Linked DNA regions of Anolis sagrei. The protein of the gene in region 2 interacts with the protein of the main gene of each other region in a biochemical or structural test. Links are inferred from orthologs where the notes say so. Each region holds a gene or a part of one and is shown on either strand. Other genes may lie near its edges.

The links.
Region 1: the proteins of DNM2 (region 2) and SNX9 form a complex in vitro, tested with the Homo sapiens proteins (2 studies listed by BioGRID and IntAct, with this or other methods). The link is inferred for Anolis sagrei from reciprocal best matches to the Homo sapiens genes DNM2 and SNX9.

Annotation. Positions count from the first base shown.
Region 1 is NC_090021.1:69,211,071-69,223,098, forward strand, and holds the start of SNX9 (sorting nexin-9), read right to left. Parts: upstream 5,132-12,028; 5' UTR 4,862-5,131; coding exon 4,850-4,861; intron 1-4,849. UniProt on the Homo sapiens protein: Involved in endocytosis and intracellular vesicle trafficking, both during interphase and at the end of mitosis. Required for efficient progress through mitosis and cytokinesis. Required for normal formation of the cleavage furrow at the end of mitosis.
Region 2 is NC_090022.1:169,258,503-169,270,905, forward strand, and holds the start of DNM2 (dynamin-2), read right to left. Parts: upstream 4,964-12,403; 5' UTR 4,846-4,963; coding exon 4,685-4,845; intron 1-4,684. UniProt on the Homo sapiens protein: Catalyzes the hydrolysis of GTP and utilizes this energy to mediate vesicle scission at plasma membrane during endocytosis and filament remodeling at many actin structures during organization of the actin cytoskeleton.

The DNA.
Region 1 (12,028 bases), on a different chromosome or scaffold from region 2:
ACAAATTTTAGCTACAAAACTGAAATTACAGTTTTCAATAACTTTATTCGTAATTACTTTTAGTACACTATAATGGCACAATATGGAAATGTCACAAAAATTTAACACTAAGTCATCTAATAATGAAAATGTAAAGGGGAAAAAGAATGTTTATTGGCCATTTTAGACTGAGAGTTCAAGCTAAAGTTTTTTCGAAATTCATTTTTTGTTATTATATTGACAAAGATAATTTAAAGGGAAAAACTATACATCAGGGCAGATGACAGAAAAATATCACTCAGCAATTATGCCTTATTTGTAAAAGTCAGGGTTAAGTCATTTTTTCCTTTCCTGTTCGAATGCTGACTATTGAAAAACAGCACAAACTATGCAAAACTTGAACTACTTCTGAAGAAACAAATGAGATTACTCAATTTGGACAAAACTGCTCAGAAGATCACATGGGTATGATTATTTAGATACATGACCCATTGTGGGTGGTGTCTGATGCATCTAAACTGAATTGCTATGTACTCTACCCATACTGACTATTGAAAAACAGCACAAACTATGCAAAACTTGAACTTCAACATCATGGGACTTCAACATCTTCATTTCACCTCTACTCTGTACTTCTTTTAAAGTACTTTTTTTTTTTGCCTGATAACAATCTTTGGTTTTGAAAGCTGGCATGCATATTTGTGTGTTTTTGGTTAGCCTAATAAAAGTTGTACCATCATATGGCCTTTGGAATTTGTTTTACAGTCAACACAGCTATTCCTGCGTTTGTACAAGCACAAGGCATTTCCTCTGGGATTTTGCTTCAGCTGGTCTCATAATGAAAATGTAGGAATAAAATCTTTATAACAGTGTTTCTCATACTCTGATCCTCCAAGAAGTTTTGGACTTCAGCTCTCACAATTCCTAACTGGTAAGCTGGCTGGGATTTCTAGGAGCTGAAGTCCAAAACAACTGGAGGAACAGAGTTTGAGAAACACTGCTCTCTAGCCATGTTTAGTTCTGTGAGAAGAGTAAGTCACAACAGGCCCTCAGCTTATGAAGCACACACACAAAAACAAAAACACATACACAGTTGATAGGTAATATAAATAGGAAATAAAAGCTTTTGGACTTAAGGTTTGTTGTGCAAGTCAAACCCAACAAGCCACAGCTAGTGAAGACATGTTTACTATAAAACATGATCTATAGACCAGGCCCAATTCCACTAAACATAGTTAAGAATAACTTTGCAACATTGAACAACCACAAATAGCAGTAGAGGTTTCTGATCTTGTCCCCAATGTTACAGAAAACAAGATGGGAAGAAGACTATGAATTAAAAGTTCACAGATATTCATTGCATTGTGTTAAACTATGGTTTAACATAATGTTCAAACATTAATAATGATCAGAAAGATTCTGCTCTACTTCTACCATGTGTTCAAGCTAAACCAAAAGATATCTAAGATTTAACAACTTTTTAACCTATAAAAAGGAAAGACTTTCTGCCAATTTTAAGATTATAGATTATCACAGCAAATAGAAAATATTGTTTTTTTGAGCTATATGACCATGTTCTAGAAGCATTCTCTCCTGACGTTTCACCTGCATCTATGGCAGGCATCCTCAGAGGATGCGAGGTCAGACCTTCTAGAGCAGGGGTTCTCAAACTAAGGCCCGGGGGCCGAATACGGCCCTCCAAGGTCATTTACTCGGCCCTCACTCAGGGTCAATCTATGTCTGAAATGACTTGAAAGCACACAACTACAACAATCCTATATCATCAGCCAAAAGCAGGCCCACGCTTCCCATTGAAATACTAATAAGTTCATATTTGTTAAAATTGTTCTTCATGTTAATTATTGTATTGTTTTAAAGTGTTTTTTGCACTACAAATAAGATATGTGCAGTGTGCATAGGAATTCATTCATGTTTTTTTTTTAAAATTATAATCTGGCCCTCCAACAGTTTGAAGGACTGTGACCTGGCCCTCTGTTTAAAAAGTTTGAGGACCCCTGTTCTAGAGTATGGCCATATAGCTCGAAAAACCTACAATAACTCAGTGATTCCAGCCATGAAAGCCTTTGACAATACAGAAAATATTATTAATAGTCCTATCTATCCGATTTGTTGTCAATCCACTCCTTTGGGCTTCACACAAATCTACCATTTGCCAAAATATATGATCCTGTCATTAATAAACTATTATTAATAGTATCACACTATAATTACAGATTGAGTGACCAATTAAATTCAACGCCTTATGTAAGAACAAAAAATAATAAAAACATAACTATATTTATGTTCTAAAATAAATTCCAAAACAGGTATACAGAAGATCAGAAGTTACTGATTACTCAATGATTCTCCTTTTATAGGTCAGGTAAATGACACAGCTTTTTCCATAGAGTGATTTGGAAATACTCATTGTAAACATGGACTGGCAACCAAAACTAACATATGAGAAAGATCAAAGAAAGAGGGGAAAAAAAGGTGAATTTTAAAATCCTTTGTGGTAACTAAACAAGTAAGCCATACATTATGAACCCACAATGATTTTGGAACAACATTTCCTTAACATTCATTAACTCCTTCCTTGAGACCTCTAAGCATTCTTCCTTTCCTCTTGAAAGTATTTTTGAAGCACATGTAAAAACCAATGTAGGCCTAAACTCCAAAAGGAAAAAAAAAACACCAGCAAGTAAGACCAAACAGACACTACAGGACTTATTACCAAATAAGCATATATTGGACAGCAGTATTATGTTCCCTCAAATATGTGCTATTTGCATTATACAGGCAGTCCGCAAGTTACAAACATCTGACTTACAAACAACTCTTCATTAAGAACAGGGGTGAGACAACATGAAGTGAGAGAAATCTGCCCCTCTGAAGGGAAATTCACTCCTGAGAGGCGTCTCCACTGAAGCTTTCTCAGCAATCCTTGTTTCCACAACAAGCCAATTGATCCAAAATCCAATTATGACAGGAAGAGAAAGTGAGGTGAAATCTTCTGAACGGGGACACAGACAGCAAGACAAACACAACAGGGGTGCTAACCCTTCCCTACACTACCCAAATCAAATTTATATATTATATGGGCCCCCTACTGGTGCAGCGGGTTAAACCGCTGAGCTGCTGAACTTGCTGACCGAAAGGTTAGCAGTTTGAATCTGGGGAGCAGGGTGAGTGCCAACTGTTAGGCCTTGCTTCTGCCAACCTAGCAGTTCCAAAACATGCAAATGTGAGTAGATCAATAGATACCACTTCTGCGGGAAGGTAACGGCGCTTTATTCAGTCATGCTGGCCATGTGACCTTGGAGGTGTCTACAGACAACGCTGGCTCTTCGGCTTAGAAATGGAGATGAGCTCCACCCCCCAGAGTCGAACATGACTATACTTAATGTCAGGGAAGCCTTTACCTTTACACACACACACACACACAGACATATACACACATATATATATCTACTACTAATACTATATAAAATAACAACACTTTATAAATAAAATATTATTTCATATATTACTATTTATATATATAGTATTATTATTATTAAAGCTGGAGTTATACTTCAAAAATGTACCTGTTTTGAACAAATACAACTCAAGAACAAACCTACAGACCCTATCTTGTTTGTAACTTGGGGACTATCTGTACAGGACTGTAATCTTTCAGAGTTTGAATATATACCAGATATCGCCACTGTGACATCCAACAACAGGTACAAAAAAAAAAGATTGTATAATTGTGTGCACACACCTGTCAACTTATGGTGACCTCATGAATTTCACAGGGTTTTCTTCAGCAAGGAATATTAAGAGATGGTTTTTTAGGAGCCCCCCCCCCCCTTCTCTCCAATGGCACAATGAGTTGAACCCTTGTGCCAGCAGGATTGCTGACCACAAGGTAGACTGTTCCAATCCAGGGAGCGGGTGAGCTCCTGTCTGTCAGCTCCAGCTTCCCATGCAGGGATATGAGAGAAGCCTCCCACAGGGTGGTAAAACATCTGGGCATCCCCTGGGCAACATCCTTGCAGACAGCCAATCCTCTCATGCCAGAAGCGACTTGCAGTTTCTCAAAAAAAAAGAATTAAGAGGTGGGTTTGCCAGTTCCTACCAGGGCTGACTTCAGCCCCCCGAGGTGTTCTGGACTTCAACTCCCACAATTCCTATCAACCTCATGCCCCTTCCTCCACCCCCCCTCCCCGAACTTAAGGGGCCTGAGGCTGTAAGGAAGTGGTTCTCAACCTGTGGGTCCCCAGGAGTTTTGGCCTACAACTCCCAGAAATCTCAGCCAGTTTACCAGCTGTTAGGATTTCTGGGAGTTGAAGGCCAAAACATCTGGGGAGCCACAGGTTGAGAACCACTGCTGTAAGGAATTGTGGGAGCTGAAGTCCAAAACACCTGGAGGCCTACTCCACAGGAAGGAGCCATGGAGCAGTTGAAGTGGTATCAAACCACATTCACAGGGAGGCCTTTGGACACAGAATCCCAGAGGCCTTGTAACACTACAACTCCCATGAGCCCACAGCAGGGAGCCACGTCAAACCCATCCCTGCCCAATTCTCCCCAAGGCAGTCTAATAATGGGCTTTCCTTTGGCCGTTAATGGCCAAACTTCCAACAATAACAATAACAACACAATTTCTCAGTCTCTGGGTGAGCCCAGCGAGGAAAGTTGACAGGGAAGGAAGGCCTCTGGAGCCAGGGATCAAAGGGGATCCCCTCAAAGAAAAACAACAACAACAAGAGCCTCCACACGCCCTTCATGTGAGGAGGCAACCCGCCCAAAGCGCGCCCAGAGGGAAGCAGGACGGGAATGGCGAGCGAGCAGGCAGAGAGGCCTGAGGGGAGAAAGGAAGGCTCACCTTGGTGGCCATGGCGAGTGGCCCCCGGCGGAGGGGATGCAGCTCCGGGCTCCCTCCTCCTGGGCCTCGGCGGAGAGGAAGGCGAGTAGGAGGAGGGGGAGGAGGAAAGGGAGGCTCCCTCCCTCTGCAGACGCCCCCTTGCCTCCTCCTTCCCTCTCTCCCTCCTCCTCCTCAACCCAACTGAGGGGAAAAGAAAGGCGCCTCTTCCTCCCTCTCTCTCTCTCTCTCTTCCTCCTTCTCCTTCCTCCCTTTTCTCCTCCTCCTCCTCCTCTTCCCAGGCCCAGGGGCGGGGTTTGAGCGGAGGGAGGGAAAGGGGCGGGAAAAGGAGGGCTGGCCCAAGCCACGCCCCTCCCCACGTGACGCCCTCAGAAGGCACACTCTTGCTTTCGGAAGGAGAGCCTCTTCCCGCTGGGGTGGGGGGCCGGGGTGGTTGTTTCTCAGGCCTCTCTTCTTCGGCTGGATCTACGCTGCCAGGGTCTGAAGCCAGGCCATCTTAATAATAATAATAATAATAAATGATAACAATAAATTAATTATAATTATATTGAATTAATTATATAATTAATTATTATATATTATATAATTAATAATTCGAACCAGTGCCATCAAAGCCAGAATTGAAAAGTCAACAACAGATCCCAAATGTAGACTGCAAGGAAGCAGATGAAAGAATAGATTACATCCTCAGCTATTGCGCAGACAGACTACAAGCAGAGGCATAACACCGTTGCTCAGATGGTTCATTGGAACTTGTGCCTGCAACAAAGAACTGGTGGGATCACAAGCCGGAAAAAGTTACAGAAAATGAATATGCCAAACTCCTCTTAGACTTCCAAACTCAGACAGAGTTCTGGAGCACAACACTCCTGACCTCACATCATGTTAAAAAACAAAGTATGGATCACTGATATTGCAATCCCAGGCAACAGCAGGATTGAAGAGAAACAACTGGAAAAGCTGACATGATATGAGGATTTAAAGATCGAACTGCAAAGACTCTGGCACAAGCCAGTCAAGGTGGTCCCAGTGGTGATCGGCACACTGGATGCAGTGCCTAAAGACCTTGGCCTGCACTTAAATACAATCAGCACTGACAAAAGTACCATCTGCCAGCTGCAGAAGGCCACCTTACTGGGATTTGCATGCATTATTCGCTGATACATCACACAGTCCTAGACACTTAGGAAGTGTCCGGCCTCTGATCCACTACAACAGCCAGCAGAGTGTCTGCTGTGGACTCATCTTGTTGTGTTAATAATAATAATAATAATAATAATAATAATAATAATAATTCAAACTAACAGAGTGTCGGAGCACAATACTCCTGACCTCACGATCATGTTGAAAAACAAAACATGGATTATTGATATTGCAATCCCAGGCAACAGCAGGATTGAAGAGAAACAATTAGAAAAACTGACACGATATGAGGATTTAAATTTGAACTGCAAAGACTCTGGCACAAGCCAGTAAAGGTGGTCCCAGTGGTGATAAGCACACTGGGTGTAGTGTCTAAAGACCTTGCCCTGCACTTAAACACAATCAGCACTGACAAAATTACCATCTGCCAGCTGCAGAAGTCCAACTTACTGGGATGGGCACGCATTATTTGCTGATACATCACACAGTCCTAGACACTTGGGAAATGTCCCACGTGTGATCCAATTCAACAGCTAGGAGCAGGCCCGTAGCCAGGATTTTGATTCAAGGAGAGCTGAGTTTGATTCCCGGGGAGGGGGGGTGAGGATCTACCCTAGCAAACCCTAGCAAACCTTTTGTATCATTACCACAATACCCCCATGCATATGGGATATATTGAGCATGGTGATCAGATCATGATATGAACAAACATAACAATTTAAATACTGTACCGGTAAGGCCTTCTCATGGACCACCCTGAGAATTTGGGGGGGGGGGGTGAAGCCCCTCAAGCCCCCCCCCCCCCCCCCGATGCCTGGCTAGCAGAGTGATCTTGTCTGCTGTGGGCTCGTTGTGTTTCTAATAATAATAATAGTAATAGTAATAATTCAGACTGACAGCGTTTTGGAGCACAATACTCCTGACCTCACAATTGTGTTGAAAAACAAAGCATGGATCATCGATATTGCAATCCCAGGCAACAGCAGGATTGAAGAGAAACAACTGGAAAAGCTGACACGATATGCAGACTGTGCAAGGAAACCAAAATGCAGACTGTGCAAGGAAACTATGAAACCATGGATCATATCTTCAGCTGTTGCAAGAAAATCGCACAGACAGACTACAAACAAAGGCACAATTCTGTGGCCCAAATGATTCACTGGAAGTTATGTCACAAGTACCACCTGCTAGTAGTAAACAATTGGTGGGATCATAAACCTGAAAAGGTAGTGGAAAATGAACACGCAAAAATACTGTGGGATTTTCGAATCCAGACTGACAAAGTTTTGGAGCACAATACACCAGACATGATGATTGTGGAAAAGAAAAAAGTTTGGATTATTGATGTCGCCATACCAGATGACAGCCGCATTGAGGAAAAACAACAGGATAAACTCAGCTGCTATGAAGACTTCAAAATTGAACTACAAAGGCTCTGGCATAAACCAGTGCAGGTGGTCCCAGTGGTCATTGGCACACTGGGTGCCGTGCCAAAAAATCTCAGCCGGCATTTGGAAACAATAAACATTGACAAAATCACAATCTGTCAACTGCAAAAGGCCACCTAACTTGGATCTGCATGCATCATTCGAAAATACATCACATACATTGAACACAGAAAGTTGATCACAGTGGGCAGGGCTGGTTGCAGAGATTAAAAGTTTAAAAACAATGGGTGAGAGAGCAATGTAATGTATCTGGAGAAGGGATCCGTGGGACGAAGTGGGGTTTAATTGCACTAACAGGTAAAATAAATCATATATTTTTATTATATATAAATGGTTTTCATGAGATGTCTTGTGTCCCTATACATTTCATTATATTTTGTTTTTAAAATACAGTATTTATTTTGTATTTCACATAACTCAGAGGTTTCACGTTATGTTTGTGTGACACACCTAAAATTGTTTTGTGTGAGAGTGTGTTTATAATGCTGTGCTATTGTTGGATTGTGTGATTTTAATGTTTATATTGATATGTTTTAATTCTATGTTTTAATCTTAAATGATGTGTTTATGATTTAATTGATAATTGTATGTTATTATTGTTATGTTAGGTTTCTGTATGTGAGGCATTGATTTTTGCCATAATTATGTTGGAAACTGCTTTGAATCCCCTTTTAAGGGAGGAAAGTGGTATACAAGTGAAGTAAATAAATAAATAATTAAAATTGCTTTTATGTGATCACTTTCTGTGTATATCATTTATTGTATCCATTTCTTTGGTTGTAAGCTGACCAGAGACCCTCTAGGGAGATGAGGCGGGGTATAAATACAGTTGTTGTTGTTGTTGTTGTTATTGTTGTTATAACACAGATCTTTCCAAACTGTGTCTTGACACATGAGTGTGTTAGCTGCAGTGTGTAGGAATGTCATGGAAACATAATGGGAAATCTTGGAAATGCATGTTATTGTCTTACAAATAATATATTTTAAAGTATAAAAATGAAAGATTTTCATAAGAGATGTTGCGTCCCCATACATTCCATTATTACAATTTATGTATGCAACTGTATCTCTTATAAGGAGTTAGTTTAACCTCTGGTTTGCCAGTTAAACCAAATTATTGTGCCCCAAAAATGATACGTGTCTACAAAGTATGCCACCCACATGAAATGTTTGGAAAGCTCTGATGTAAGGTATGCAGATAACAGCATGCTACTGGGAGAAAACAGGAAAGACTTGAAGGTAGTCACTGAAGGTTTACAGAAAACAAGACATAATGACTACAGCAGATTTACAGAATTCTAGACGATGAAGTTATCGAAAGAGTTTTAAGATTTTCCATATCCTGGCATAGTCACTCTTCAGTCAAGAAAGCAGCTTTTATTGGCCCCTAATACCAATGCAATGCAACCACCTTATCCCTGGAGGATATGTTCTAAGATCCTCGTGGATACTGAAACCATGGATACTACAGAACACTATATTTGGACTCTTCTTCAGCTGGAAGCTTCCTATTAAATAGCACTGGTTGATCTAGAGAGGCCCACAAACACATCTGGAGAGGGATATTTTGGATAAGTGAGCCCATTGCTAACCTTATAAGGGCAAAAGGCCACTATAAACAATACTATAATACAATAATATAAGCCATATGACTTATATTATTGTATTATATTTTTGTTTATAGTGGCCTCCTGTCCTTGTACTTAAGGAAATCTTTTCTCTGTATTGCTAACCTTATAGCCATCCCTTTCCTTTTGTACAGGGAGCTCCATAGTCCAGGAAAGTTGAGTCAGAGCTGATGAGAGCATTTCTCAGTGGTAAAATATATATATAGCAACAATAGCAAGCATTTCTAAGTATGGGTTGCAGAATGGCTGGAATTCAGTGTCATCTCAGACAAATCCTCAGGAAACTCTGCCCACAGCCTGAATGTTTCTACTTATGCTGTAATAGTCAAGCCAGGATTAGTCAGTGTGTGGCTTCCTATCATAAGTTTGCATTTTCAGGAACCTCTATACAAAAGTGGTCTGCTAGTAAAATTAAGTCTTTCCCTATTCTAGATCTGTTACACAGCTTATCAGATTTCAGGTTTATGATTCCTCTTCATTTTGTATTAAACCCTGAGATCCACAAACCAGAACCTGGTTTAAAAATACTGGCTCAGGTTGGTACACACACTAAAACCAAAAAAGCCATATATCTGATCATATGAATTTGTGATCAATACCATAGCAAAACTTACGAACAATTTTACATAGATAGGTAATTAGGTAGGTAGGTAGATAGATATGTAACTAGGTTCCATTGTATCTTTCTCTCTTCTATAAAACATTCTGAATTAACTGTTGTTTGTATCTTATTCCTTAAGTGGCTTTTTGAAATCAAGTTTGTAGTCTTGCTGCTGAAACAGAAAGAGGGATGGTTGGTCACTGCAAATCTGAGTAGCAAATCTAACATAGCGTGAAAAACACTGGCAACATAATTAAATCCTCATTTTCCATGTTACCACGTGATAGAAAAGCATCCAGAACGAAACAAAAACATTAGAAAGTGCTTGGCTCAGGAAACCCAAGTACATTTCCCTGTCAATTCTTGTCAACCTTTCTGAAGGCCTTGTCATTTCAATGTTTTACTAAGACTGAATTGATTCCTTACGTATATGATGATATATGGGTAATAGTAGTGGAGATGGATGCTTTCTTTCCCATAGTCGTTGGTCTCAGTGTTTTCTACATCATTCATATCAGTGCTTCAAGAAAATGTGTCTTTGTCCTATAGTGTATGCAATACATCTTGGGGCATTTACCCAAAATCAAATCAGCTCTGACTCAAATACTTTTGGGGCTCCCCCCATCCATCAGATGAATGATCCACGGGATCTATGCAGTTCACATAATGTTCTTCTAAGTCAGCATTTCTCAACCTGGGGGTCGGGACTCCTGGGGGGTATCAGAAAACACAGTATTTTCTGTTGGTCATGGGGGTTCTGTGTGGGAAGTTTGGCCCAATTCTATCATTGGTGAGGTTCAGAATGCTCTTTGATTGTAGATTAACTATAAATCCCAACAACTACAACTCCCAAACGTCAAGTTCTATTTTCCCCAAACTCCACCAGTGTTCACACTTGGTCATATTGAGGATCCATGCCAAGTTTGGTCCTGATCCATCATTGTCTGAGTCCACAGTACTCTCTGGATGTAGGTGAACTACAACTCCAAAACTCAAGGTTATTGCCCACCAAATCCTTCCAGTATTTTACTGCTGGTCATGGGCGGTCTGTGTCCCAAGTTTGGTTCAATTCCATTGTTGGTGGAGTTCAGAATGCTCTTTGATTGTAGGTTAGCTATAAATCCCAGCAACTGCAACTCCCAAACATCCCCACCAGTATTCAAATTTGAGCATATCAGGTATTTGTGCCAAATTTCAACCAGTGAATGAACATGCATACTGTATATCAGATATTTACATTACGATTCATAACAATAGCAAAATTACAGATATGAAGTAGAAACGAAAATAATTTTATGGTTGGGGGTCACCACGCCATGAGGAACTGTATTAAGGGGTTGTGGCATTAGGAAGGTTGAGAAACACTGTTCTAAGTAAATGTGCTACTCTTGAAGAATTGGCTATACATTCCGTCTAGATTACTGCTCTCTACGTGGGGCTGCCTCTGAAGACTGCCCGGAAGCTGCAGCTAGTCCAACGCTCGGCAGCCAGATTTCTAACGGGGGCTGGGTACAGGGAGCATACAATCCCTCTGTTACGCCAGCTCCACTGGCTGCCGATTAGCTTCCGAGCACAATTCAAAGTGCTGGTTTTGACCTACAAAGCCCTAAACGACTCTGGCCCTGTTTACCTGTCCGAACGGATTCTCCCCTATAAACCATCAAGGTCTTTAAGATCTTCCGGGGGGGCCCTGCTCTCGATCCCACCACTGTCACAATCGCGGTTGGTGGGGATGAGAGACAGGGCCTTCTCGATGGTGGCTCCCCGGCTTTGGAACTCCCTCCCACAGGAGATTAGAACTGCTCCCTCCCTCCTTACGTTCAGGAAGCTAGCAAAGACTTGGCTATGGAATGCGGCCTTTGACAACTGAATCAACTGGTCCATATGGAAGGAGAATGAATAACTGTGAATTATGACCAGGAATGCTTTGACGACGTGGCTATGTGATTGTGATGATGACGATGTTGTATTGTAATATGTTTTTAATTGTGTAATGATGATGCATTGTGCGGTTTGTATTTTTGTATATGAATACATGTTGTGAACCGGATCTGAGTCCCTCTTGTAGGTGAGAAGATTGGTATAGAACATTTTTAAATAAATAAATAATAAATAAATATACGAGTTTTAGGAAGTTTTAGGAAGTACATATGCTATTCTTGCTATTGCTTTTAATCAGTATAGTCCTCATCCATCTAGTTCTTGATGAATAAACATTTGAGGATCAAACCAATCTCCTGTTTAGTACATAATTCTGTTCTGACAGTGATGGCTAATGCGATATATATGTGAAATGTACAAGCACAATATGAACATGACAGCACCCTTTGTATTGCGATCCTCAGTAGCTAATATTCATATG
Region 2 (12,403 bases):
AACGTATCCTCCCCATGAGCCATCAAGATTACTAAGATCATCTGGAGGGGCCCTGATCTCAATCCCACCAGCCTCACAGGCGCGGCTGGTGGGGACGAGAGACAGGGCCTTCTCGGTGGTGGCCCCTCGACTCTGGAACTCCCTCCCACTGGAGATCAGAACTGCCCCTTCGATCTTAACGTTCAGGAAACAGGTGAAAACCTGGCTTTGGGGATTGGCATTCAACGAATGAGCCATGATCCTGTGATATGGATGGATTACGACGAATAATGACTTTGATGATGACTGACCACTGTAATCATATGATTGTATTTTTGCCATTTTAATTGTTAATGTTTTAATGTTTTAGTGTGATTTAGAAATATGATGTTTTAATGACGGTCTGTAATACTGATGTTGGAAACTGGCCCGAGTCCCTCGAATGGAGGTGAGAAGACACTACCAAATAAATAAATAAATAAATTCAAGGTTTGGACAGCCTCCTTGGTGACAGGTGAGAAGGATCATAGAATCATAGAATCAAAGAGTTGGAAGAGACCTCATGGGCCATCCAGTCCAACCCCCTGCCAAGAAGCAGGAATATTGCATTCAAATCACCCCTGACAGATGGCCATCCAGCCTCTGTTTAAAAGCTTCCAAAGAAGGAGCCCCCACCACACTCCGGGGCAGAGAGTTCCACTGCTGAACGGCTCTCACAGTCAGGAAGTTCTTCCTCATGTTCAGATGGAGTCTCCTCTCTTGTAGTTTGAAGCCATTGTTCCGCATCCTAGTCTCCAGGAAAGCAGAAAACAAGCTTGCTCCCTCCTCCCTGTGGCTTCCTCTCACATATTTATACATGGCTATCATATCCCCAGGGAGCCCCCGGTGGCGCAGTGCGTTAAAGCACTGAGCTGCTGAGCTTGTTGATCGAAAGGTCGCAGGATCGATTCCGGGGAGCGGCGTGAGCTGCCGCTGTCAGCCCTAGCTTCTGCCAACCTAGCAGTTCGAAAACATGCAAATGTGAGTAGATCAATAGGTACCGCTCTGGTGGGAAGGTAACAGCGCTCCATGCAGTCATGCCGGCCACATGACCTTGGAGGTGTCTACGGACAACGCTGGCTCTTCGGCTTAGAAATGGAGATGAGCACCACACCCCAGAGTCAGACATGACTGGACTTAATGTCAGGGGACTACCTTTACCTATCATATCCCCTCTCAGCCTTCTCTTCTTCAGGCTAAACATGCCCAGCTCCTTAAGCTGCTCCTCATAGGGCTTGTTCTCCAGACCCTTTATCATTTAAGTTGCTCTCCTCTGGACACATTCCAGCTTGTCAATATCTCTCTTGAATTGTGGTGCCCAGAATTGGACACAATATTCCAGATGTGGTCTAACCAAAGCAGAATAGAGGGGTAGCATTACTTCCCTGGACCTAGACACTATGCTCCTATTGATGCAGGCCAAAATCCCATTGGCTTTGTTGGCTCATGTTTAACTTCTTGTCCATGAGGACTCCAAGATCTTTTTCACAAGTACTGCTCTCGAGCCAGGCATTGTCCCCCATTCTGTATCTTGCATAGAGATAACACCTCATTCCGAAACTCCAAATGATCTCCCCCAGCGGCTTCATGTAGATGTTAAACAACATCGGGGACAGAATTGAACCCTGTGGGACTCCACACAACAACGGTTGTGGGGCCGAACAGGTGTCATCCATATCCAAATAGCGCTTTGGATATGGAATTTGACTGGAATGGTGATACGGTGGTTAATATTGTTTTTATTGTTTAAATTAATGTTCTAAGTTTGCAGATGACACCAAATAGGGAGGGATAGCCAATACTCCAGAGGACAGGAGCAGGATTCAAAACGATCTTGACAGATTAGAGAGATGGGCTGAAACTAACAAAATGAAGTTCAACAGTGACAAATGCAAGATACTCCACTTTGGCAGGAAAAACTAAATGCAAAGATACAAAATGGGGGACGCCTGGCTCAAGAGCAGTATGTGTGAAAAAGATCTTGGAGTCCTCGTGGACAACAAGTTAAACATGAGCCAACAATGTGATGTGGCGGCAAAAAAAGCCAATGGGATTTTGGCCTGCATCAATAGGAGCATAGTGTCTAGATCCAGGGAAGTCATGCTACCCCTCTATTCTGCTTTGGTTAGACCACACCTGGAATATTGTGTCCAATTCTGGGCACCACAATTGAAGAGAGATATTGACAAGCTGGAATGTGTCCAGAGGAGAGCGACTAAAATGATCAAGGGTCTGGAGAACAAACCCTATGAGGAGCGGCTTAAGGAGCTGGGCATGTTTAGCCTGAAGAAGAGAAGGCTGAGAGGAGATATGATAGCCATGTATAAATATGTGAGGGGAAGCCACAGGGAGGAGGGAGCAAGCTTGTTTTCTGCTTCCTTGGAGACTAGAACAATGGCTTTCAACTACAAGAAAGGAGATTCCATCTGAATACGAGGAAGAACTTCCTGACTGTGAGAGCCATTCAGCAGTGGAACTCTCTGCCCCGGAGTGTGGTGGAGGCTCCTTCTTAGGAAGCTTTTAAACAGAGGCTGGATGGCCATCTGTCAGGGGTGCTTTGAATGCAATATTCCTGCTTCTTGGCAGGGGGTTGGACTGGATGGCCCATGAGGTCTCTTCCAACTCTTTGATTCTATGATTCTATTGTTTAAATTAATGTTCTATTTATTGTTTTAAATGTGGTTATATTGCTTTGTTATATTTAATAATATAACGTACCTTGGGAAGGCTGACTTGGCCACGGTAGTACACACTTTGGTTACATCCCGCTTAGATTACTGCAACGCTCTCTACGTGGGGTTGCCTCTGAAGACTGCCCGGAAGCTGCAGCAAGTACAACGCACGGCAGCCAGATTACTAACGGGTGCTGGGTACAGGGAGCACACCACTCCACTGTTACACCAGCTCCACTGGCTGCCGATTAGCTTCCGAGCACAATTCAAAGTGCTGGTGTTAACCTATAAAGCCCTAAACAACTCCGGCCCTGTTTACCTCTCCGAACGTATTCTCCCCTACGAACCATCAAGACCACTAAGATCGTCTGGAGGGGCCCTGCTCTCGGTCCCACTGCCTGCACAAGCACGGCTGGTGGGGACGAGGAACAGGGTCTTCTCGATGGTGGCCCCTCGACTTTGGAACTCCCTGCCATTAGAGATCAGAACTGCCCCCTCCCTCATGACGTTCAGGAAACTAACAAAGATCTGGTTATGGAACGCGGCATTTGACAACTGATTTAATTCTTTGCTCACATGAAAGGAGGATGATGAATGGTATTGTGATGGTGTCGGACGATTTGGCTCTTTTAACTGTGATGATAATGTTTTAATCGGTGATCTCAAGACTGGACTACTGTAACGCCCTCTACATTGGCCTCCCTCTGTCGGTGATTCGGAAGCTCAAGTTGGTACAAAATGCAGCTGCTCGGCTTCTTGCGGGAATTCCGATGAGATGCCACATAACACCAATCTTACTACAGCTGCATTGGTTACCAATTGAGCACCGGATCACTTTCAAAGTGATGGTACTCACCTTTAAGGCCTTGCATGGTCTGGGGCCAATGTATCTGAGGGATCGTCTCACCCCCTACCAACCCCAGAGATCCCTCCGTTCTGAGGACCAAGATCTATTGGAAGTCCCCAGTGTCAAGACCTTGCGTCTAACAGCAACCAGACGCAGAGCCTTTACAGCAGTGGCACCATCACTCTGGAATACTCTGCCACCTGAAGCCCGTGCCTTGCGGGACTTATCAGCTTTCCGCAGGGCATGTAAGACATACCTGTTCCGACAGGCTTTTAATGTTTGATACTGTTGTTTTTAAATTGTTTTAAATTGGTTTTAAACTTTGTTAGATTTTAGCTATTCTTGTAAGCTGCTCCGAGCCCCAGGGGAGTGGCGGCATATAAGTTTAAATAATAAATAAATAAATAAATAATGTGTATGGTGCTGATATTTTAATCGTGTTATGAAGTGCCATTGTGTTGTTATTGTATATTCTTTGTATGTTAACACATGTTGTGAACCGGTCCAAATCCCTCTTTGAAGGTGAAAGGGTCGGTATATAAAACCTCGAAATAAAAAAAATAAAATAAATAATGACATCAAATTGTGCCAAATGTAAGCCGTCCCGAGTCCCCCTTCGGGGGTTGAGAAAGACAGCGTAGAAATGCTGGAAATAAAATAAATAAACAAAATAACCTCAGAAACAGGCCTAAAAGCAAGATATCAAGAAAAGAATGTTGTTGTTGTGCTGTGAATATGCAATGACAAGTGTCATTATTGTGTGTGGGGGAGTTTAAGCAGAGTGGCGTCGAATGAGGAGGAGGCCCAAACTGCACCTGCTGCTGAGGGAGGCACAAAGGTTGCTGTAATCCTCGCCCGCCCATTCCACACACTCACAGACCCACAGGGCGCGAGGACGAGCCAGAGGCCGGGAGAGCATCCCCACAAAGCTTGCTTCTCCCGCGCGCGCCCCTCCCTGCCCGCCTGCCTCGCGCGCCCCTTACGCAGCTGACGCAACTGGCGCACTGAGACGCCCTCACTACGGCGGAGGGGGCTATTCACAGACGGTGCGTGTGCCCAGCTCCGCAGCAGGCGCGCGTGCGCGGCATTCTCGGCAGGCATTTCCGTAAACTGCGCCGCATTCTGCTCAGAGCCCTTTCCCACTCACCGGCCTACGAAGTTCTCCAGGACGGAGCTCTTGCCCGCGCTCTGTCCGCCGACGACGGCGATCTGCGGCAGGTCGAGGTGGCAGCTCTGCCCGATGGAGCTGAAGGCATCCTGCAGCTTGTTAACAAGCGGGATCAGCTCCTCCATCCCTCGGTTGCCCATGGCGACGGCCTAAAAGAAAGCGGGGAGGGCGCTCCTCCGCTTCCTCGCTCAGCCCCCGGCAACAAGCACCAAACTTCCCCCTCGGAGTCTCCTCATCCGGCCTCAGCGACGCCCCGCTCGCGCCTCCTACCGCCCCGACTCCCTTCCCATTGGTCAGCGCAGCCATCACTCCGTAGCGGTAACCAATAGGGAACGAGGATCTGGCGGACTCCCGCGCTGATACGGCGCTGTTGCATCGGCCCGCCTCATTTCCGGTTGGCGTTCTAATTGGACGAACTCGCCTGTCATTCGGCGCTCCCTCTGCGGCTCACCCAGCCAATAGCCGCCTCCGGAAAGTGGTCAAACTGCATTAAACCCCGCCCCTTTCTCTCGGGCGCTGCTCCCCATTCGTAACCCTTGCTCTCCTCTTCAAACAACGAGTTATCTATCAAAGCGGCGAGCCCCGCCCGCTGCGCCTTTTTCGCTTTCTATTGGCCAATGTTTCTGTCACTCAGAGCGAGCAGCCAATCGCTTCAGTAAAGTTAACTTTTTGGAAAGGCGAATGTAATGCTGAACTCAAAAACCACTGGACGAAAGACACCAAATTTGGACACAATACACCTAACAGTCCAATGTATGTTCTTCACTCAAAAAATGATGTTGTCATTTAGGAGTTGTAGTTGCTGGGATTTATAGTTCACCTACAATCAAAGAGCATTCTGTACCGCGCCAACGATGGAACTGAACCAAACTTGGCACACAGTTCTCCCACGACAAACAGAAAATACTGGAAGGGTTTGGTGGGCAGTGTCCTTTGGTTTTGGAGTTGTAGTTCACCTACATCCAGAGATCACTGTGGACTCAAACAATGATGGATCTGGACCAAACTCTACACGAGTACTCAATATGCCCAAATGTGAACACTGGTGGAGTTTGGGGAAAATAGAATCTTGACATTGTAGTTCCTGGGATTTGTAGTTCACTTACAATCAAAGAGCATTCTGAACCCCGCCAACGATGGAACTGAACCAAACTTGGCACACAGTTCTCCCACGACAAACAGAAAATACTGGAAGGGTTTGGTGGGCAGTGTCCTTTGGTTTTGGAGTTGTGGTTCATCTACATCCAGAGATCACTGTGGACTCAAACAATGATGGATCTGGACCAAACTGGGCACGAAAACTCAATATGCCCAAATGTGAACACTGGTGGAGTTTGGGGAAAATAGAATCTTGACATTTGGGAGATGTAGTTCCTGGGATTTGTAGTTCACATACAATCGCAGAGCATTCTGAACCCCACCAATGATAGAATTGGGCCAAAACTCCCACACAGAACAGCCATGTGGGCCACAGCAACGCGTGGCAAGGGGCGGCTAGTATATTATAAATATTATATGTATATACAATATATTATATTATGTTATTAGCTTAGCACAGGAGACAGGAGAAGAGAGAACTTGTAATTCAAACAGGATATATCATATTTACTCAAATCTAATGCTCACCTTTTTGGGCTATATTACCTTCCCAAAATTAAGGTGCACATTAGCTTTGTGTTATACAGTAATTTTAGTGCTGAGCCAAAGCAAAATGGGAAGCTACTTCCGAAGCACCTGGAACTCCTATTTGAGGGACATGATCTCTAATTTAATTGCCTGAGTTAAATGCTATGCAATGCTGGGATTTGTAGTTGGTGAGTCACCAGCATCTTTTGGCAGAGAAGGCTCAAGACTTTGTAAAACTGTGCTGTTCCAGCAGACACCAGCCAACCCCTCTCCAAAGCCAGTGATACAGCTTAATGGTGTAACATTCGAAAATGTTGATCATTTCCGCTACCTTGGCAGCCACCTCTCCACCAAAGCCAACATCGACACCGAAATACAACACCACCTGAGCTCTGCGAGCGCAGCATTTTCCCCAATGAAGCAGAGAGTGTTTGAAGACCGGGACATCTGTCTACAGATGTCACATGCAACTCCTGGAACGATTCCATCAGTGCTGCCTCCGGAAAATCCTGCAAATGTATTTATTTATTTATTTACGGCTTTTATATGCCGCCCTTCTCACCCTGAAGGGGACTCAGAGTGGCTTACAATATATATTTTCATACAATATATTATATTATTAGCATAGTACAATATCAGTATATATTACTATATTGCACTATACCATTATATTGTAATATTATTAGTAATATTACATGTAATGTAAATATATAATTATAATTATAATATTGAATTATTATTACTAGTATTATATTGTATTACATTATAATATTATAAATATTATATGTATATACAATATACTATTATTATATTATTAGTAAAGACAAGATGGAAGTGTCTTCTGCTCCCTTCTGTCTTCGCTGTGGCCAGAGCAGCCGTTGGGAAGACAGGCGGACAAACGTCAGCGTGCTGGAAGAAGCAAAGACCACCAGCATTGAAGCGATGGTCCTCCGCCACCAACTCTGCTGGACCGGCCACATTGTCCGGATGCCCGACCACCATCTCCCAAAGCAGTTGCTCTACTCCGAATTCAAGAATGGAAAACGGAATGTTGGTGGGCAGGAAAAGAGATTTAAATATGGGCTAAAAGCCAACCTTAAAAACTCCGGCGTAAACACTGAGAACTGGGAAGCCCTGGCCCTTGACCGCTCCAGCTGGAGGTCAGCTGTGACCAGCAGTGCTGCAGAATTTGAAGAGGCATGAATGGAGGGCGAAAGGGAAAAGCGTGCCAAGAGGAAGGAGCATCAAGCCAACCCTGACCGAGACCGCCTTCCACCTGGAAACCAGTGCCCTCACTGCGGGAGAAGATGCAGAACAAGAATAGGGCTCTACAGCCACATACGGACCCACAAGAATATTGGAAGACAATCCTCCTCAGGAAACGAGGGATCGCCTAAGTAAGTAAGTACAGCCCCCATGACTCCAAAACATTGAACCAAGGATTCATTCTACAGCACAGATGCACCCCAAGGTTTTCTTTTCCATTGCTGAAAGCTTTGGTGTCTTAACACTTTTGTTCTTAAAGGAGGAATTCAAAGCAGGCAGCCACTATTTTTTTGACCAAATTACAAAGAGTGCACCTTTTGTTACTGGATATTACAGACACCAGCAAATACTTTTTTTAGTTTTAAGGTTTTGAACATTGAGGTGCAGGTAAAATTCGATGGCACATTAGACTCGAGTAAATACGTGTAACCACAGTGACATGATCAGTCATTTTCAGGAGCAGGCACAGCAGGTGCACTAGTTTTATTATACAAATGTACTCCAGATCACCTTTGAAACCTATATATCCAGGCTCAAGGTTGGGTTCAGGAGTACGGGCGAGCTGCAAACACAAGTTTCCAGGGAGAGTGTAACCACACCCAGAATAAGTTGAATATTTATTCTCTGGTGTGCTTTTGTCATGTCTGCATTTCAGCATGAATATATTGACCCTTTTCGGTCCACTGCATACACCACTGGTTTAGCACCAAAGCTGCTTTCCTTCAGTGAAATACTGATAGCTCTGGAGAGGTCATGCTAAACCAACATATCTCTTTGTGTTTCCTTCCAGCTGTTTATTTATTTACTCAATTTCCATCTCACCTTTCAAACCAGAAGATTACATTTTTAAAACCAAGAAAATATAATCTGCCACTATGAAAACAGAACTCCTAGCTGCCCAAGCACAGAAGTGGGGGGAGCCTCATGAAATAGCTGGGCTTCACATATGTGTTTGAGCAGTGGCAGTTAATGCACCTGTATGTCTACTTTCATCAGCTGAACCTCTAAACGTCATGGTGGTATTGCATATTCATTTCATATTCAGGAGGCTAAGATTGAGGTCAAACTCCCTGCCTTCAAGCTGATCTGACCTGCAGCAGGGAGTTCCTCAGTTCTCCATTGCCCCGCTTGGGCCAACCTGCATGAACATGGCCACAGCAGCAGCTGCAATTCAGAAACCTTCTTGTTAGTTTCGCTTTCTTCCCCTTCCTAACATTGTAACTAATCCCCCCAATAAAAAGTATCAATTAATTGTACAGTATATTCTGGCGTATAAGACTACTTTTTAACCCAAGAAAATCTTCTCAAAAGTCAGGGGTCGTCTTATACGTGGGTGTAGTCTTATGCATGGCAGTCGTCTTAACTCTACATTTTAACTGGAAAAGTTGGAGGTCGTCTTATACGCCGAGTCGTCTTATATGCCGGAATATACGGTAACTTTGAGAGCTGGACCTTAGGGAAGGCTGAGCGAAGGAAGATAGATGCTTTTGAGCTGTGGTGTTGGAGGAAAGTGCTGAGAGTGCCTTGGACTGCAAGAAGATCCAACCAGTCCATCCTCCAGGAAATAAAGCCCGACTGCTCATTGGAGGGAAGGATACTAGAGACAAAGTTGAAGTACTTTGGCCACATCATGAGGAGACAGCAAAGCCTGGAGAAGACAATTATGCTGGGGAAAGTGGAAGGTAAAAGGAAGACGGGCCGACCAAGGGCAAGATGGATGGATGGCATCCTTGAAGTGACTGGACTGACCTTGAAGGAGCTGGGGGTGGTGACGGCCGACAGGGAGCTCTGGCGTGGGCTGGTCCATGAGGTCATGAAGAGTCGGAGATGACTAAACGACTGAACAACAACAAAGTGTTACTTTGTGTCCTTTCATTGCCTCTAACTTCGCTCTATATCAGGGGTCCACAAACATTTTAAACAGAGGACCAGATCACAGTCCCTCAAACTGTTGGAGGGCCGGATTATAATTTGAAATAAATGAATGAGTTCCTATGCATGCTGAGCATATCTTATTTGTAGTGCAAAAACACTTAAAAATACAATAATTAAAATGAAGAACAATTTTAACAAATATAAACCTATTAGTATTTCAATGGGAAGTGTGGGCCTGCTTTTGGCTGATGAGATAGCATTGTTGTTGTTGTTGTTGTTGTGTGCTTTCAAGTCATTTCAGACTTAGGTTGACCCTGAGCGAGGGCCAGGTAAATGACCTTGGAGGGCCGCATCCAGCCCCTGGGCCTTAATTTGAGGACCCCTGCTCTACATAAACCTTTCTTCTCCCGGGCTGCAGATGGCTGCCGGCCCGCCCGGGATGCGATTTTTGCATCCCGAGGAGGCTGAAACTGCGTTCCCTTAAACCGCGGATATGGAAACCCATTGGGTCCCCATATCCGTGAGTCAATGGATCGCTTCAAAAATTGTGTCATTCTTCTTGGGAGAATTCGAAGACTAATGGCTATCTCGGTATCGCTCCGCTAACCCCTCCGCCATGGGAATAACCCTTTTTGTCCCCCAAACCTTGACCTGGAGCCCAGCTGGCTTTATGAAGACACTGCCTCACTGCCACCATTTTGTAGATGCCCAGAAAGCCTGCTGATCTTGGGAAACTGTCGCGGTCACCCCATAGGATCCCCAAGGTGTCAGCGGGCCACCCTGGTCCTTGGCAAGGAGGGATCTGTAGTTCTCTCTGTGGATCTTGATCTCCAACACTGGCAGCTGGTTCATAAGAACTCTATGGACTCTGGGGACACCTTTGCAATTTGCCTGCCCTGAATTTTACAACTTTTATCAACTTTCTCCAACTTTTAAGGACTTTTGAAAACTTTCTGGAACTTTTCCCCCAAAACCCCAAGGATTCCCCATCATAATTTGGGGGCTATATGATTTCATAATATTGGACTCTCTATGGACTTTGGTGGGTGGATGGGTTTGTATGAATTTCCTTTTCCCCCATTTTTCCCTTGTGCATGCCTTATGAATCCCACGTCTGTGTTTATGTGTAAAAATTATGGAAAGCCACCTTTCGCGACCCCAGCAAGACAAAAAAACCTCAGGAAATTCTATGGGCTCCCCTCTCCTGGGCAGGAGCCTCTAAATTCTAGCTCAATATCAAGATGTTTAAAAAAAAAAGTTTAATCCTCCTGATCACCTACAGTACGATGGCATGGCAGAGAGTAATGTTTCTGGATACTGACAAAACAGATAATAGAATCATTGAGTTGGAAGAGACCTGTGGGCCATCCAGTCCAACCACCTGCCAAGAAGCAGGAAAATCGCATTCAAAGTTCTGATCACTTTCTCCAAACATTCTCAAACCCTAGGATACTCGGGGGATTCCAACAAATTCTAGAGCAGAGTTTTCCAAACTGTATGTCATAACATGTTAGTGTGTTGGCTGCAGTGACTTGAACATAATGAGAAACCTCTGAGGATATGTGAAATAAGCAATGCCACCTTGCATGTAGTACAGACAGCAAAGGTGCCTATTAGTATTAGTAACATCTCTATAAAAGTCAAAGTCTGGCTGTACTACAAAGGTTGTTGCTTGATGTGTGATGTTGCTTCTGACCTTTCTTGAATACTTGGGGAAGGATGGCACCAGCCAGGGGCGGCTGGCCTCCTGCAGCGATGCTGGTGCTTTTCGTTATCCACAGAGTTACCCTCGCCTTTCCACAGATCATATCAAAATCCAGAATTTTGACCCCAAATCTTGCCCTATACGTATACATGAGGTTGACTTATATACAAGTATAAATGGTTTTTTCCATGCCTTGCATATATTAATTGCATTGTCCTGGAATATAATAATCCTCTCCTAGTCTGTATGAACATATATTACACAAAACCCTGAACGGTTTGGGACCCACATACCTGCGCGACCGTATATCTGTAAACGAACCCACACGATCCCTTCGATCATCCGGAGAGGCCCTGCTCTCAATCCCACCAGCCTCGCAGGCACGATTGGTGGGGACGAGAGAGAGGGCCTTTTCGGTGGTGGCCCCTCGACTCTGGAACTCTCTCCCTAAATTTATTTATTTATTTCACAGTTTTGTATACCGAACTTCTCAACCTCATTGAGGGACTCAGCCCGGTTTACAGCCATAAAAACATATACATTCATTAAAATATCATATATCACAAATTACAAAACAACTTTAAAATACACTAAATATAAAATTACAGTGGCCAGTCGTCCCATTAAGATGGATCTATATCCACTTCCATCCAGAGTCCTATGGTGTTGTCTCATTCCTCGAAGGCCTGACTCCACAGCCACGTCTTCACCCGTTTCCTAAATGTTAGGATGGATGAGGCGGTTCTGGCCTCCAGAGGGAGAGAGTTCCAGAGTCGTGGGGCCACCACCGAGAAGGCCCTGTCCCTCGTCCCCACCAGGCGTGCTTGTGAGGCTGGTGGGACCGAGAGCAGGGCCTCTCCAGATGATCTTAGTAATCTTGATGGTTCGTAGGGGAGAATACGTTCGGAGAGGTAAACAGGGCCGGAGTCGTTTAGGGCTTTATAGGTCAACACCAGCACTTTGAATTGTGCTCGGAAGCTAATTGGCAGCCAGTGGAGCTGTCGTAACAGCGGAGTGGTGTGCTCCCTGTACCCAGCACCCGTTAGTAATCTGGCTGCCGCGCGTTGGACCTGCTGCAGCTTCCGGGCAGTCTTCAAAGGCAACCCCACGTAGAGAGCGTTGCAGTAATCTAAGCGGGATGTAACCAAAGCGTGTACTACCGTGGCCAAGTCAGCCCTCCCAAGGTACGGACGCAGTTGGCGCACAAGTTTTAATTGTGCGAAAGC